Linked DNA regions of Xenopus tropicalis. The protein of the gene in region 2 purifies or fractionates together with the protein of the main gene of each other region. This does not show direct contact. Links are inferred from orthologs where the notes say so. Each region holds a gene or a part of one and is shown on either strand. Other genes may lie near its edges. The genes, in order: cdk19, med12, med9 and vdr.

What was found.
Region 1: the proteins of med12 (region 2) and cdk19 purify together in Homo sapiens (affinity purification with mass spectrometry; 10 studies listed by BioGRID and IntAct, counting the BioPlex papers as one, with this or other methods). This does not show direct contact. The link is inferred for Xenopus tropicalis from reciprocal best matches to the Homo sapiens genes MED12 and CDK19.
Region 3: the proteins of med12 (region 2) and med9 purify together in Homo sapiens (affinity purification with mass spectrometry; 6 studies listed by BioGRID and IntAct, with this or other methods). This does not show direct contact. The link is inferred for Xenopus tropicalis from reciprocal best matches to the Homo sapiens genes MED12 and MED9.
Region 4: the proteins of med12 (region 2) and vdr purify together in Homo sapiens (affinity purification with mass spectrometry; 3 studies listed by BioGRID, with this or other methods). This does not show direct contact. The link is inferred for Xenopus tropicalis from reciprocal best matches to the Homo sapiens genes MED12 and VDR.

Annotation. Positions count from the first base shown.
Region 1 is NC_030681.2:77,212,182-77,216,263, forward strand, and holds the start of cdk19 (cyclin-dependent kinase 19), read left to right. Parts: upstream 1-1,270; 5' UTR 1,271-1,394; coding exon 1,395-1,522; intron 1,523-1,534; exon of another isoform or gene 1,535-1,715; intron 1,716-2,080; exon of another isoform or gene 2,081-2,454; intron 2,455-4,082.
Region 2 is NC_030684.2:44,398,395-44,402,582, forward strand, and holds the start of med12 (mediator of RNA polymerase II transcription subunit 12), read left to right. Parts: upstream 1-1,379; 5' UTR 1,380-1,710; coding exon 1,711-1,938; intron 1,939-4,188. UniProt on the Homo sapiens protein: Component of the Mediator complex, a coactivator involved in the regulated transcription of nearly all RNA polymerase II-dependent genes.
Region 3 is NC_030685.2:15,706,164-15,709,461, reverse strand, and holds the end of med9 (mediator of RNA polymerase II transcription subunit 9), read left to right. Parts: intron 1-2,112; coding exon 2,113-2,329; 3' UTR 2,330-2,743; downstream 2,744-3,298.
Region 4 is NC_030678.2:143,849,747-143,854,003, forward strand, and holds the start of vdr (vitamin D3 receptor), read left to right. Parts: upstream 1-1,426; 5' UTR 1,427-1,663; intron 1,664-4,257.

The DNA.
Region 1 (4,082 bases), on a different chromosome or scaffold from region 2:
GAATTCTATCACGCTGTGGTCCCTCTGCAGTAAGCCAGATGAGGGCCCAGCGTTGATGTGGCAGTGGCAAAAAGGGGTCCCGGGCTAGGGGGTATGGTGGGGGAAGGGACTGCAACTGGTGTAGGGGCAAGGGAATGCAGTGGGGGTGCTGACTTCCACTGTGGGGGCCTGTGTGTGGCCCGCCTAGCCTTATCACTGGCTGGGGGCTTTTGTCTTTGAGAAGCATTGGTGGCAGTGGCTGTGACCGCCATAGGTGCCTGGGCCGCAGTCCTGACCTCTGCACGCTGCCTCCTCGAGACTACAGTCGGGGGTTGGGAGGCAGCGGCAGAGGACGTGCGCCTGGATGCGCGTGGGGGACTGGGGCTCAGGCGAGAGGGAGGGCGGGAGCGGCGAGCCGGCCGCTTCCCAGCACTGCCGGCTGCCTGTCCCCCCTGTCTCTGTTCAGTGCTGATGGGGCCAAGTAGCTGTTGTAGCCAGTCGGCTCCATCAGAAGCAATTTTTGCCTGCACCTGCTCCAGTAGTTCCTCGCTCATGCTGGGGTCTGGTGGGGGCTGATGGACACAGGCAGCAGCAGCAGTTGGAGCAGCTAGGATGCCGCTTGGTGGAATCCAGAAGCAGAGTGGCAGCAGCAGCACGGGAATGCAGGCACAGAGGAGGGAGGAGGAGCGAGCAAGGGGGGGCTGCCCTTTCCTGACTGCACTAGCTGGTGAGTTAACCCCTTACAAGCACGGAGGGAACTGGGCCACAGCTGGCTCCACAGTCCCTCCGCGCTTTCATTATTTATTTCAGTGCTCTCTATTCTAGTTGGCAAAGTTTGCAGTGTCATCTATTAGTACTGGCCAGCATTAGGCATGGTTGAATTCCCTGCTACCTGAACAAGGCATTTTTTGCCATGTATTTTAGTTCTATGGATAATGTCTGACTAGTACACTGAAAAAAACACTATTTCAAAGATAAATGTGTTTATAATTGATTGTGTGATTTGGCGCGCATTTATTAACATGAAGGCACTGCATCGCCAGCAATGAAGTAATGAATGAAGTGATAGGCTTTCCCCCTGCCAGTTGTTTGTGCCCAGGAACCCTCCGCTCAGAGTACAGGCCCGGTAAGAAGTGACGCCTCTCAGGCGGGCAGCTTCCACAATTTGGCAGCACCACGGCAGAGCGGGCAGCTGCTGGAAGTGAAATTGAAAGTAAAGATAGAGGGCGCTCTTCCCGCTAAAGTACATGGCATGCGTCTATGTGCAAAGAAGAAGAAAAACAAGGAAATGGTGGAGGGAGAGCCTGGCACTTATTCCATGTAACGACCGGCAGTAGCCAACGGACAGCAAAGGGTTGGGGCGATAGCTGAGCCTTGATGGGTTAAATACGCCCTCGCTCCAGCCGTGGAGGAGGATGGATTACGAATTTAAGAGCAAGCTGTCCGCCGAGCGGGAGAAAGTGGAGGAGCTGTTTGAATATGAAGGTTGCAAAGTGGGTCGAGGCACCTACGGGCATGTTTACAAAGCTAAGAGGAAAGATGGGTAAGAGGCACTAAAGGGAGGGGCGTGTGGGAGGGAGGTGTGTGTTAGGTCACTGTTCATACCTGTGTGCGGACCACCTAGAGCATCGCGCAGTCCTGTGCTTGAGCAGCAAACGCACCTCTCTAGGTGCACACATACCTGCGTGGGTTCCGTACAGTAGAATGCATGTGCTTGCTGCTATTGTGTCTATGAGGTAATTATTGTGTTCACTCATGTCTGTCACAGCCTTGTGTTTGTTATACCAGCAGCACTGCATATACACGTAACCCCCGGACAACGAGGAAAGCCGGAGATGCTGCATTTCTTGTCATGTTAGGAAGTTATTGATGGGGATATTGTGCTAGTTATGTGCTGTTACTGTGTATTTGTAGCTCCCTCCTCCTCCTCTGCACACGCCCGGGATGCTGAACTTGTGCTGGGGGAGGAGGGGGAGGGAGTCTGAGCTACAAATGTTTATGTTGGGGTAATCCAGCCTTGTGGTCCCACCTACTCCGCTGTTCCTCCTCTTCAGTGTTTGCCATAGCACCATGTGTCAATATTTTCTCCCTCGTCTTGCAGATTACCCATTTCTATGGCATTTTCCCTCTCTTTAAAGAGCCAGTCCTGATCAGTAAGGATGCCAGCCCTTTACTGAGGAGACAGTTACCCGCTGGGATTCGTGAAGGGCAGCGGTAGGGCCACAAGTTGAACATCACTGGAGGCTGAGCTGTGTGTATGAAAAGGGCAATTACACATGATATGAAGTGACTGCTTATACTTCAGGCTTAACTAAGGAATAAATAAATGCGTTGTTCTCTAAACTCAGCATAGTAAGACTTTTAATAAAGTTGAAATGATGCTTTGCTTGATTTCATTCAGGTTAAAACATTTGTGATGGCACCTATGTGATTTTTCTGGGATATTTGCTAAATAAACACACGTTCTTTAAAACATTGGCATGTTTGTGTATGTGCAAGATTTTATAATCGCCTCCATGTTTGATGTTTTAGTTGCAGTCTTATACTAATGGCTGTAAGAACTTTGAATTATTTATCAGACAGACATTATTTAGCCCATCTAGCATGAAGTTTTTTTTTAATTCTCAGGACTAAGAATCAATAAAAAAAGCTTTTAAAAAGATGCAATCCTTTGTCAACCCTTTTTTTTTTTAACTCTTGGTTCTGGCCCTTTAGTTATCCTCCAGGGAAGGTGCTAATTCTCACAGTGCTTTGCTCACTTCTTCATAGGTAGAACTACTGGTTTAATGGTGGGTTGCTGGACTGGCAATTTGTACATTCTGCTTAACACCAGAGGGACTGTAAGATGCCCATAGACAGTCACTATTGGGCCTGTGGGTGGCTGTTTGGGCGTCTTAAGTACTTGAAATGCCAGGGTCTGTTTTGTCTTGCAGCCCATACCTGGGCCAGGTTTAGGCTAAATAATACAGATTGGGGACTTATAAGGTATTATATTAGGTTAAAAAAATCCATTAGTTCTGTAGCAGTGACATCACATTACATTGCAAATAGTGCATTGTCTGTTTCTTTTTCTACTGTTTTTTTTCCACAAGAAAAAAATATTCCCCTTTCTGTACCTGTGCACCCTCCATATTATTTCTGTGTTTTTGCTGGAACATTTTGTACAATTCCATGTCCCATTGTTTAACTCACATCCTGCATTAGATTTCCAGCCCATGCATAAATGTCACTCTTTGTATAATGAGTAAGCTTAAATGTTTTCCTGTAACTATTCATTTTTAATTATTATTAATTATTTTATTCTCTGCCCCCTTAGCTAAAGGTAAATGTTCAAAGATTATAACTAGTCAAACTCTTCTGTCTTTACTTTTCTCATTCCCACTGGTGATGGTTTGGAGGCGAGGATCATCTCTCAGGGGCAACTTGGGGCAATTTGATACTCAATGTAAGCTTGTAGTTCCTTGCCTCTTGTACATGCCTTAACATCTAATAGCCCATTTGCTGAGATGCTCACTGAGACAACTTGTGACCATCATAAATAACCCTGCTTATTTTTAAATCTAAGTAATGTAATATTTAGATATTCTTGAAGAATTCCCCAAGTACAGAAATACTTAGTAATAAATTATCTGTTCCACTGTCCTGTCCTTTGTTTACCTCCCATGAATCCTTGTCAATTCTTTGTTTAGTAGTAGTTGGGCAGGTTTGTGGTACATTACCATTAGGGCCATGACAGACGGGGAGATAAGTTGCTGCACGACAAATCTCCCTTGTCGCGGGCGACTAATCTCCCCGATATGCCATCCCACCAGTTAGGGTGACTAATCTTCCGGTCTGTCATGACCTTTAATTACATAAAAAATGGCCCTCGAGCCAATAAAATCTCTTAAAAAACTGGGACCCATGTAACTTTTGGTTACTCTGCTATGTTTGTGTAAACTGTCTGCTGGCTCTTACCTTTGCTAGTATATTTAAATTGTCACGTTGGTGACTAATACATCATTTTCTAATCTTGTAATCTTATCTGTAGCACTTCCTTTCATTGGAGGATGTTTTGAAATATTTTATTTGCTTGTAGAACTGTTCACTTCCTTCTTTGCACA
Region 2 (4,188 bases):
CATAGCATCTTTGTTAAAAAGGTGTACCAATAATCACAGTATTTATTATAAACTGATATAAAAAAAAAAGATTTTAGCAAGAAAGCCTTATGCTGCTGACTAGAATAACTAGAATACAGCAGACCTGGGTAAGATGGGGGACCATGACAATCGCTGGGTCTGCTGTACAGAGTCATCAACCAGCACTATTTCATGAGGGCAATAATGATACAATCCTGGGCTTTTTCACACTCTATTTCATGTTATCATTTAGTGTGAATAGGAATTCAGACCTAAAAAGGACTGAATCATTGTCTCATTCATGACATGGGGCTGGTTGATGTCTCTGGTACAATTCCAGGTCCCCCACATTTGTCTGCCAATGGCGCCTGGCGCCACAAAAAAGTGTATTGGTTGAGGAGGTAATAACAGGGGAGGAACTACCAGCAGGGGGTGCTGGACGCTTGTGCCGATTCAAATCAACCATAAAAACTTCACCCAGGTCCCTTTGCTTAAAGTTCCCTTATTGGATAGTAGCAGTCCCGCCATATGGCTGAGGGCGCAAGCCCCTCCCACCACCCCACTGGGGAGGGCATTACACCACTGATTTAAAGGGAAACACCTAATGTGGTGCAGTGATTTTAGCACAGCCATAAACACTTCATAACTGTACCTATATAAAGGGAAATATGTTGGAAGGAAACCACTAAATGTAGGGCTTCAACAACACATTTCCCATAGGTATACCTATATCATACCTCCCAATATTGAAAATTGTGATCATTTGGCCATGACCTGATCTGCTCCATTCATGTCCAGTTTTATCCAAAAATGTCCCTGATCAAAACCTTGCCCACTCTCTTCTGAGTTGTTTGAAATATTCCTGGGGAGCTGAAGTGATCTGAGCCTTGCCTTGCACAGTTTATTTCCCATAAGCTTTCAATACAAGTTGGTGGGCTGCACTGCAATCAGAAAATCACCTCAATATAAAGTATTCCTGAGTTCCATATTGTACCAGTGATGTGCTATGCTTTGGAGTTGTGCACCCAAATTAAAATGAACCCTCATGATTGAAAAGGCCTATAACAGGGTGCCCTAAGCATGATAGGGGTAGGGCTACCACCCAGCCAGTATTTAACCAGCCCAGCCTGTAAGTCACCAGCTAGGCCAGGCCAGATTTACTGGCAATATAATTGTAGGCCAATTTTCAATACCCTATGAATCCCTCCTTCCCCTCTCCACTGACAGATTACTCCTTATAAAGCCAGACCTGCCTAGAATCCGCCCATGTGACACCCCCACCTGCACCCCTGGCTGAAGGCCGGTAAAATAGTAAAAGAAAAAAAAAAACAGCGTCCCTATGGATGGGGGGTGTATCAAGGTGTGGCCAGGAGTGTTGTCAAGGAGCACACACAAAAAGGCACTGGACTGGCAATGTTATCTCTAGGCATGCCTGAAATGGGCATGTTTCTTTTTTTCTGACGTTTCTTAGATACAAAATAGAGTTCAAGTCAGCCTGAAGCGTACAGGTTAGTAAATAAAACACAATAGAATGCTACGAATGCGACCCCTTGTGGTAAAACTGGGTACGGGCAACAGAGTTTCCCTTTAAAAAGCGCTTGTCTTGACCAGGGATGGGAGGTTTTCTTCTAGTGAACATATCCAGTACCTATAATATTACATTCAGCAGCCAACCATTCAAGACATAAGACGGCCGTGACAAGCACAAACATGGCCGCCCTGGCCTCACTGCTCTCAGTATCACGTGACCAGGCGCGCCCGCAGCGCTCTGTGTTTGTGCCCAGACCTGTTGGTTCCATCCGACGTCATGTCGTGCGCGCCGCCGAGCAAGGAAGGAAGATGGCGGCCTTCGGGATCCTGAGCTACGAGCACCGGCCGCTGAAAAGACCCCGTCTTGGACCCCCAGACGTGTACCCTCAAGACGCCAAACAGAAGGAGGTGAGACCCGAGGGGCTGTCAGGGCTCCAGAATGGAAGAGAAGGCTGCTTAAACCGATCTGGCACTAGGGGATTGTGGGAAAGGGGCCATTTAAAGGCAACACACACAAATAAGGATAATCTGCAAACCTATAAATCGGGGGATTTTACCAACAGTTGAAAGATTTAGCAGCCATTGTGCTTTATTAGCTTTGTACAAACAGCTGCAGCTGAAATAATGGCAGCAAAAAATATGATAGTTTGCTACAGGTTACTGCTTAGGTGCAATTAATTTGCCCTGTGCAGCTAAATGAACCAGTCCTCCAGGGGAGGATTGATACACATGAAAAAGAAAAAAAAAAGCAGGGTAATGGGCAGAAGGATATATCTAGGCTATTTAAAGTTTGGCACAGAAGGCAAAAAGGTAGTTTTAACAAAATTAACATTACAATCAACTTATAGGGCACCAACATATTCCCCACTTCTGTGAATATAACAATTTATATACAGACATAACAATAGTATTGGGATAATGAGAACACTGTTTACAAAGGCTTGTAATCTGAAGGCTGGGGCAAACAAAGTAGAAGGTTGACTGGTAAATTAGCAAGGTATATTGGCAAGGTTATTGCTTAAAGAGGCTGTAGAGGTTGAATATGCAAAGGCTAAATGCAAGGCTATCTAGGAGAGAATGGGTACTAGTAAATATAGCTTTTGCTGGTGCTGATGATATGAGTTCCAGGCCAGAGCTTACAAGGGAACAGGTATGGTGCCCGATAGTGATTTCTGGCTAAAAAAATAATGGCTGGAGAGAAGCAAAGCACAGAAAGTGATTTCACTGGTGGGTGAGATTTACAGAAATATAAGATAGATGGGGCAATACACCTCTATTTGTAAATACATCACTAATCAATACAATAATAGAATATGATTAAATACAATTGCATTTAAGATTAAGTGACCACTTGAAGTTGGTCTTGTCTCTGTACAGCTGACCTTCTAAATGGGTGTGTAACTTACAGACACGAACAGGGCAGTAAGTGCAATTAACAGTGGTTGAGGCATTGCTACATAAGTGCCAGACTGAGTCAGATGTTATGCTTCAGAAAGAGTCTTTAAGTTTAGTTTTAACGGGGTTGAAGGAGGATTCTCTCCAAAGGAATTCAGAGATGGAATCCAAATGTATAATGTGGGAGGTGTGGCCAGGCAGTGGCTATGAGAGGAAAGATGAAGTTAGCAGGAGAATGGACTTATGCCTACCTGTGAGCCAAAATAGTCACAACAAACAGGTGAAGGTGTCATAGAACCTATGCCCCTTTTAGAGGAGAGGTCAGATTTTGGGAGGCCAGTTAGTATTAAGTTGTGGTATTCTACTTGGCTAAAATTCCAGTTGACTGTCTTAGCTATTGATTAAACAAGAGAAGGCAATGTTGCTTAGGTAAAAGTGCCAGTTGTTAATGATAATGTTAACATGACCAGAGTCAAAGATTACACCCAGGTGGCATGTTGAATTACAAGGGATAATGATCACGCCATTAGTAGCAATAATAAAACGGGAAGAAGGACCAGGTTTAGGTAGAAAGTTGATATGTTCAGTTTTTGTTAAAGGAACAGTAAATGAAAGTGTATAAAAGTAACTAAAATTTAATGTTCTGCTGCCCTGCACTGGTAAAAGTTGTGTGTTTACTTCAGAAAGTCTACTATAACTTAAATAAATAAGCTGCTGTGTAGTATGGGGGCAGCCATTCAAAGGAGAAAAGGCACAGGCACATAGCAGATAACAGATAAAACACTATTGTATTCTACAGAACTTGTCTGTTATCTGCTATGTAACCTGTGCCTTTTCTCCTTTTTTCCAGCTTGAATGGCTGCCCCCGTGGCTACACAGCAGCTTATTATATAAATTATAGTAGTGTTACTGTAGCAAACACACCAGTTTTACCAGTGCAGGGCAACAGTGCATTATATTTTTATTACTTTAAAGCTCTTTTATTTTTTGGTGTTACTGTTCCTTTAAGCTTCATTGAAATGGGGGTTAGTTTAGGAGGCAATGGTTAGATGGCAGTTTGAGATCTAATGCTTAAGTTCAGTTGTTAGTACAGGTAAGGGGTTTGATAAATATATTTGGGTATACTCACAATAGGATTTTGTTAGCATAAAAGACACAGAAGGATATGGTGGAAGAGTGAGAAGAACCCCCAGGATGCAGCTGGATTATGGATAACCAGGGAATAAAGAATTTGAGAAGGGAGTGGTAGACACATATTCAGAT
Region 3 (3,298 bases), on a different chromosome or scaffold from region 2:
AGCCTTCAGCCACTGAGGAATTCTATCTCCCATATCCACTGCCGATGCTGGGAGTTATAGTGCTGTAACGGCCTGCGGGGTCCTGTTGGGATAGAACAGATCCGCTTTACTTGCAAGCAGGCACGTAGCCTATAAATACAATATCCAGCTGTTTGCCTGGATGCCGTGTCCTCATCATTGCTCCCATCTCTGCATCCGCCTCTGAATCAGCCCCCGATAATTCCTAGCTCAAGTGCACTCACAGCCGCACAAGTATCTGCTATCGATCAGCGCTCTGCGTATGTCACTTCTGATTCCGAAGAACTGCAGTAACAACACATTGTGCAACAGGGACACTCATTACATACAGGAACCCTTTTCACTGCACTTTCTTGTTAAAGGGGAACTAAATCCTAAGGAAAGAGCAAGTTAGAAATGCTGCAGGTTAGTCTTTAGGCTTATCTGCCAGGAAGGTCTGTGTCCCTAAAGATACCCCGAGTAGCTCCTGTCTCTCCCCCCCCCCCCCCCCCAGCTATAATACTGCAAAAATGGAATTGCTCTCCAGTTGCCCTGTCTTCACTATGCAGTCAGAGCCAATCAGAAGAGAGCTTACATTGGTCCCACTGCACAGAGAAGGCAGGGTGACTTCTGGATATTGTATGTGTGTAAGCACTGGGGAGATTGGGTTGCCTTTAGTATATAGATTTGCTCTGTATATGATAAGCACCCACACATACACACATATAGATATATATAGATATATACGCACTCTCATCCCTGATGAATCTATGCAGATAAATGCAGTAAATGGAAGCCTAATTGCTGTCGGAAGTGACAGTACAGACAAGGTAGCTCGTTCCTCGTGTTAGCATCTAATTAAGCCTGCCTTTCCTACAGAGCCACTAAAGTGAGGTTAATTGGAGCTGGCAGCAGCCTTACATACAATGGGGTGGGTAATGCTATAAAGAAATGTGTAGGCAGATTTACCCTTGTAATGGCAATGACGCACTAGCTATGGGTGCTGCCCTTGCCTGGGTGTTTGGGGCCCTCCGACACTAAGGTGCGTGCCTGCGCCCAAATACACAACAAGCGGCACGTTGCCCGGCGGCCGGCAGCAGGTGACTGAAATGATATGTATAAGGAGCCAATGAATATAAGTCCCCTTTGCGTAGGCCTCCCAGGAATGCATATGAAAGCAATATCCTCCATCTGGCCGTGGATTTGCCTGCGAGCCCTGTGTTCAGCCCGCGGCGGATCAGAGCTCTCGAAGAAAACAACTGCAGTTACTTAGGTGCTACTTTACTCTGCTGCCCCTTAATCTCTGTTCCATCCATGTTGGTTCTGTTCCTGTAAGAGAACTGCATCGTGTTTGGCTGTTTGAGCAGCAGGTTTTGAAACAACATCCGACTCTTAAGTCCATCCATGGCGGGCGGCTCTAGGCCCAATAGGCATTAGACTTGTATAACCTATGGGCCACAGAATAGGCCCCCTGCGCTGCCTGCTGTTGGACATAGTTATTAAAGCAAGGCACATAATGGGTTCTAAAGCACATGTTGGGCTGCAAAGCTGGTTCTGCAACTTGAATTGGGAAACGGCAAAGAACCTGCTTTAGTGGGAGTTGGGCCTGAAGCCTTGGAGTTGGGAGGGTTCGGGCAGTTAATCACCCAATGGGTCACGGGTGTGTGGTGGGTCTGAAAGGCAGAGGGGTCCCCCCTACTTTATTTCAGTTCCTCCACCAGATTTATAATAAAAGTGCCCTCTGGCGTGCTGGGGGTATTAATAAGCTTTAATAATAGCCTCCCTCCTATGCACCGACCCCAGGGAGCCTATATATAAACATGGCCTTGGGCACAGGTGGGTGCAGGTTGGTGAGGATCAATGAACTGTTTACTAGAAGCTGCTGCCCCCCTATTTTTTTTTAAAGGGCAAGTGCAATTACTAATGTGTTAGGCTCCTCCCAGTGAACACTACACTGGGTAAAGATAGCAGCACTCCCATAGAAAGTACCCCAGGCTGCTCCATTGTCAGGGAAGAAGAGCAGTGAGCCCAAGGTTACCAATAACAGTACCAGTATTGGTTTTATTCAGCCCCCAAATGCTTATTTTTAACCAGTCTCCTCCTCCTCCCCCCTAGCATGGACAAAGACAGCCAGGACGTGTACCAGGAGCTGAATGAGTTAAAGAGCAAGTTCCAAGCCATGCGCAAGCTGGTCGGCAACATGCCCGGCATCGACCTGAGCCCGGAGGAGCAACAGCGGCACCTCCAGAGCCTGAGGGAACAGGTACAGACCAAGAATGAACTGCTCCAGAAGTACAAGAGCCTCTGCATGTTTGAGATACCCAAGGAATAGCTGTACGGACTGTTGCACCCAGTGGGAGGTTCTGCCAAACCCAACATGGCGCCCGGAACACTGGCCAACCAGAGTGTATAAATATGGAGGGATCCATTGCAATTCCTAAACTCGATATAGGGCAGTTGCCCTTGTACATGACTTCTGGACTCAGGGCAAATTCCTAATGGATGTTTTTTTCTAAACTGCTATGTGGTTGCTAGGCTCAGTCCCTATAGCAACCACGCAGTGGTGTGAAAGATGAATAGGAGAAGATAAGGACATATTACCTCTATCTACAACGTACTAAATGTTTGTGTAATGGTTAAATTCCCCTTTAGTGTAATACATTCTTTTGTAATGACAATATTTTTTGTTTTTTTTTTCATTCAGGATATGAGTCTTTCCATAAAGTTTATTCCACCGAGCTATTAATTGTGCTGTAAGTTTCTCCGGAACATGAATCACGGGTCCATTGAGTTCACAAGTTCATTAAGAAAGTAACGCAGAGCAATTAGCAGGAGCTGAAATAACGAGTGGGTGTTCCACTAATAAGCAGCCGCGAGCGCTCGGGTTCCTTAAAGGTAAAGTAGTCCCGAAATACACACGGCTCCCTCGCTAAAGGGCATCGGCGCGGAAAGGCCGCCTTGTATGGAGAGGCCTAAATATATCCGCGCTGATGTAGTGCAGAGGAATCCGATTGGCTCACTATTTACCCACTTCCTGGAACCCCCTGAATAAGGACAATGTGCCAGATGGACACTTCCCCCCCACCCCGCAGTTTCATGTCTAATATTAACTTGCTATGATGGTGAAAGTTGCAATTAGTCTAATTTATATTTTGTGTTTTGCAACTTTAAGGCTTGTAATATTACCCTGCTACCTGGTTGCTAGGGTTGTAATTACCCTGGCAACCAGGCAGCAGTATGGATGTTGAAATGGAATGTTCAGTGGAATGGTGAGTGCCTGAATGGAAAGATAAGCAGTTAA
Region 4 (4,257 bases), on a different chromosome or scaffold from region 2:
TGATAGATAGACACGATAAGTTCTAAAAGGAAATGGCAGAGTTACTGCTAAGGCAATACAAGCAAGCAGTTTATATTTATGGAACTCCTAAAAACAGCAGGCCCCAAAAGAAAAGGTATATTGATTATGAAAAAGTTAAGAGTTATTTCAAGCAATTATGTAACCCACCTGAGAGCTAGGACTCTTACTGGCTGAGAATCAATACAAGCATATGTAAAGCTAATCAGGAATGACAGCTCAACTTAAAGGGAGATCCCAAGGCACTCACTTGTGTAGGGCAACTATATAAATATAATTAATAGTAGTCTTATTCATATAATGTGATGCTACTGAGACATGCCAATATATTTGGCAATTATTATTTGTTATTTATACATTACACTTTTAGGCCTGTTTGTTTAGTAACTTGCATGAAATGTTTATCTCTCACATATAATATAAAAATTTCCCCAGCATACTGAGCAATTTCCCATCAATGCAGTCATAGTGTGATTTGAATCTCCAGCAATGCCTTCTAAATCAAAAAGTGAAGCTTTCCTTACAGCACAGGGTGCACTATAATCTAAATATATAGGGCAGGCTGCTAATTGTGCATCTTGGGGGGGACTAAAGGACACAAACTGGGATGATCTACATATTCAACGTAATGTTATATTGTAATTTATTGTATGTCTGGTATGCAGAAATACTACATAGTAATAGTAAAATAAAGTAATCTTAAGGTGCGGCACGTATGTACATAATATGTAGAAGTACCACATATGTAGCAGAGGGGACATTTGTCTTGTGCCCCATCTGCTTTTATCCAATGGGCTATGTACGTGCAATATCCTGTGTGGATTAGGGTTTGGCTTGGTATTGGAACAAGAAGTTTTGGAGGGATTCTGAGAGTAGAGTGGGGTCCTTGTAATTTAGAAAGCCTGTGTTTTCCATGGGGTGGGGGTTGGGAAAATAACATACACAGTGAAGCCTCAATACCCTTAGTTTAAGTTTTCCAGCATTTAAAACTGTTTTCTTGTAGTTTCACTAATATATAATACATAAAACATTTCCAGGATTTTACACAATTTTTTTATGGTCCCTTGAAAAATGTAAAATAGCATGAGGAACGACCACCCCGAAACCCTCAGGCTAAACTACAACTCTCACAGTCCCGATGATAGAAAATATGTACAAGTTGTTGCGCAATATGACGTGCCTTCTGAAGGTGTAAACAACTGCCTGTCTGTCTGACGCTTCTCTACATAAAGCAGAGACAGCTGGCAGTGAGGGGAAACTACAGACAGCCTACGAGTCTCAAGGACTGGGCAAATGTTAACTATTTCCTTCCTGCAGCCCCTGTGTAGCTGTCACTAAAGAGTTAATGTGAGCAGCAGCTGCGGTTCCACAGTCCCGCCCAAAGGTCAGAGTGACGGTGCAGCCCATGAATGGGGCAGTGAGACAGGAAGGACGTACCTTGCTCGTCAGCCGCCCTTTTCCCCTCCTACTGCTGGGGCATTCCCACCTCCAGGAGGGACTTGTCACGTCCCTTTTTCAGTGTGTTTCCCCCCTCCTCAGGTTCTGCTGACTGGAAGCCGCTGTGAAACCAAATAGGCAAGAAGAGTTGGGGCTGCTGTGCCAATTGTCCGTGCCAGGTTGCTGATCCAGGGGTTACAGTTACAAGGTAACAGCGCGGCCGGGAACATGAGGGTGACAGCTCCTGTCAGGCACTGAGCGCTCATTGGGCAGTGCGGGGGGGACTAAGGGGATTAGTACATTCCACTTCATGTCAAACTCTGTTACATTGTAACCGCCGTATTCCACTGTGTGTACTGTACTCGGAACGTGTTGGACTATGAGAGACAGGGGTAAATGACAGCATAGGTGTCACACAAGCCCTATAGCAGCGGGGCTATTAGTAAAAGGAGATGGCATTTGACCTTAGCCCCCTGTATTTGTGTATTTGTGTAAAAGGTGTTAGCTGTGTTTACTATACACATCAGAGATGTCCAGGCTGTGTTCTATAGCTGTTGTTGGACTACAACTCTCAAACCTGACTGAGAGTTGTAGTGTAACAACAGCACAGAGTTGTAGGTTGAACATGACTTTTTTCCCCTCATAATCATTGGTCCCTAGTCTGGCAGATTTCCTTTATATTGGTTATACCCAACTTGGAGTGCTCCCGCTGTTTTTGAACTGCAACTCATTGAACCAGAAATTAGACCTTTTTTTGCTATTACATTATCTATCAGATCCCCAAAGTTGCTCTATGAGGGGGCTGCTCGTAGTCTGTTAACATTAGAAACTATAACTGACAACTTTAGAAGGGACAGTCAGGTTGGCAAAACAATGAAAAAAGGAAAAAGCAAACAAAACGATTTGCTGGTGTAAAAAGATACCTCCAACCTGTTTGTTGCGGAGTGCATATACAGACCAAACGATTCAAGAGCTTCGTTGGCAAAACAGGCAGATTTTGGAACTTCAAGAAACAGTTAAAAAATCAGTCCTATCAGCAAAAATGATCAATATGACTTATAGGGAACTTTTAATGTACATTTTTATTTTGAACAGTCGTTTTTAGTGTCAGTACCACTTTAAGGGGGCGTGTAATTCCAGTTCATTAACAGTAAATAGAGGTTTAAGATGCTGAGTGTATAGACACACCACACATATTTTTCTTTCCAGATCTTAAACAGCCACAGATGACAGTAATACTGTTAAAGGAGCAATCTCTAGCCCAGGGCTCATTAGCCATGTCTGGACTAGAACTGAAAGGATCATAATAGGAGTTGTGGTGAAGGAATGACAACGTTGTGGTGGAGGAATGACAACATCTCGGCTATAACCATTTACCATTTCAGAATTTCAAAGCTACCACCAACCTACCACCCCAACCAGGGGAGTTTGTACTATTCAGACATGCATTAGATTTTAAGACTGCAGTTTTCTATAATGATATCCAGCCAGCTGCTGTTAAAGGAGAACTAAAGCTTAACTAAAGAAGTAGGTTAGTAGATATTTTGGGCTTCTGTACCACCCCAAGGCAACCCCAGGCCTTTAGCAGTGAAGATCTGTGCCCTCAAAGATGCCCCCAGTAGCCCCCCATCTTCTTTTCTACTGATTCCCTGCACATGCTCTGTGCTACTGTCACTTACTGAGCTTAGGGGCCCACTCACATTATACTGTAGATATAAACTATAAATGTCACAATATACTGTATATATAGACTATAAATGTCACTATATAAGGCTAATTAGTAAATAATACAGATTATTAGTGTATGGCAGCTCTGAAACAAGTGCAGTTATCATCAGAAATTAATACCCAGCCCTGTAGCATCGGCCTTTATGACAAACAAACCTCATTTTCCACTTGATAATTTGCAACGCCCCATAAGATTAGCTTCTCAACAGCTGCCCAGAGCACACCGACACTTATAACAAAATCCAAGATGGGGAGCTTTTGTGACAACTTTGAAGGCCTGCATCAGATGCTGAACCTTTAGGCCAGCTCAATAAGTTCAGTATATAAAGTATGCCATTTCTAACCATATTCTCTTTTTAGGGGTTAGTTTTCCTTTAAACTATGAGTTCCACCACACACAGTTGTGGACTTTGGCATCTTAAATATGCTGATTTAGCCCCTTGAAACCGAGTCGGCAGATTATTTGCTTTTGTATGGGGCCCTCCAATTTCTGGACAAATATTGGGCAGATATTTATTGGGAAGGTTTAAATCCCACTGGGTGAAGGACCACATTGGCTTGATAATCTGGTCCTTGCCTGCATTTGGTGTTATTGTGATCCAGTCATTTGGCAATAGTCCAGTAATAATCACCTCAAGATTGCCATACCGGAGAAAGATCCGCTTGTTTAAAGAACTTGCTAGCGAGTGGCTCTTTTAGTGTATGGCCATTTTAAGGGATTATGGGTATTTGTCTGTTTAAGGGAGTTAATAGTATCTTGCTCTGTCTGATACAAAATGGGTAGCTGTTCTTTTTGTGCTTATTTAGTGCACATGTTCAGCCACAACTTGAGGGCTACAGGTTGTTCAACACTTATGTGTAGAGGAGCTCCTGTTTGTGTCACAGGGATCAAAGTATGACTTTTTACTTTTCTATTCCACATATGAATGATAATCTCTATTAAGTGCTGTTGAAACATGTGGGTATAAATGAAGGATACTTTGCATTAAATAAGATTTTGATCAGGCACCTTCTATGGCGCCCGATCAAAATCTTTTAACCCGCCCGATCGGCGAGTCGACCGATATCAGCAGC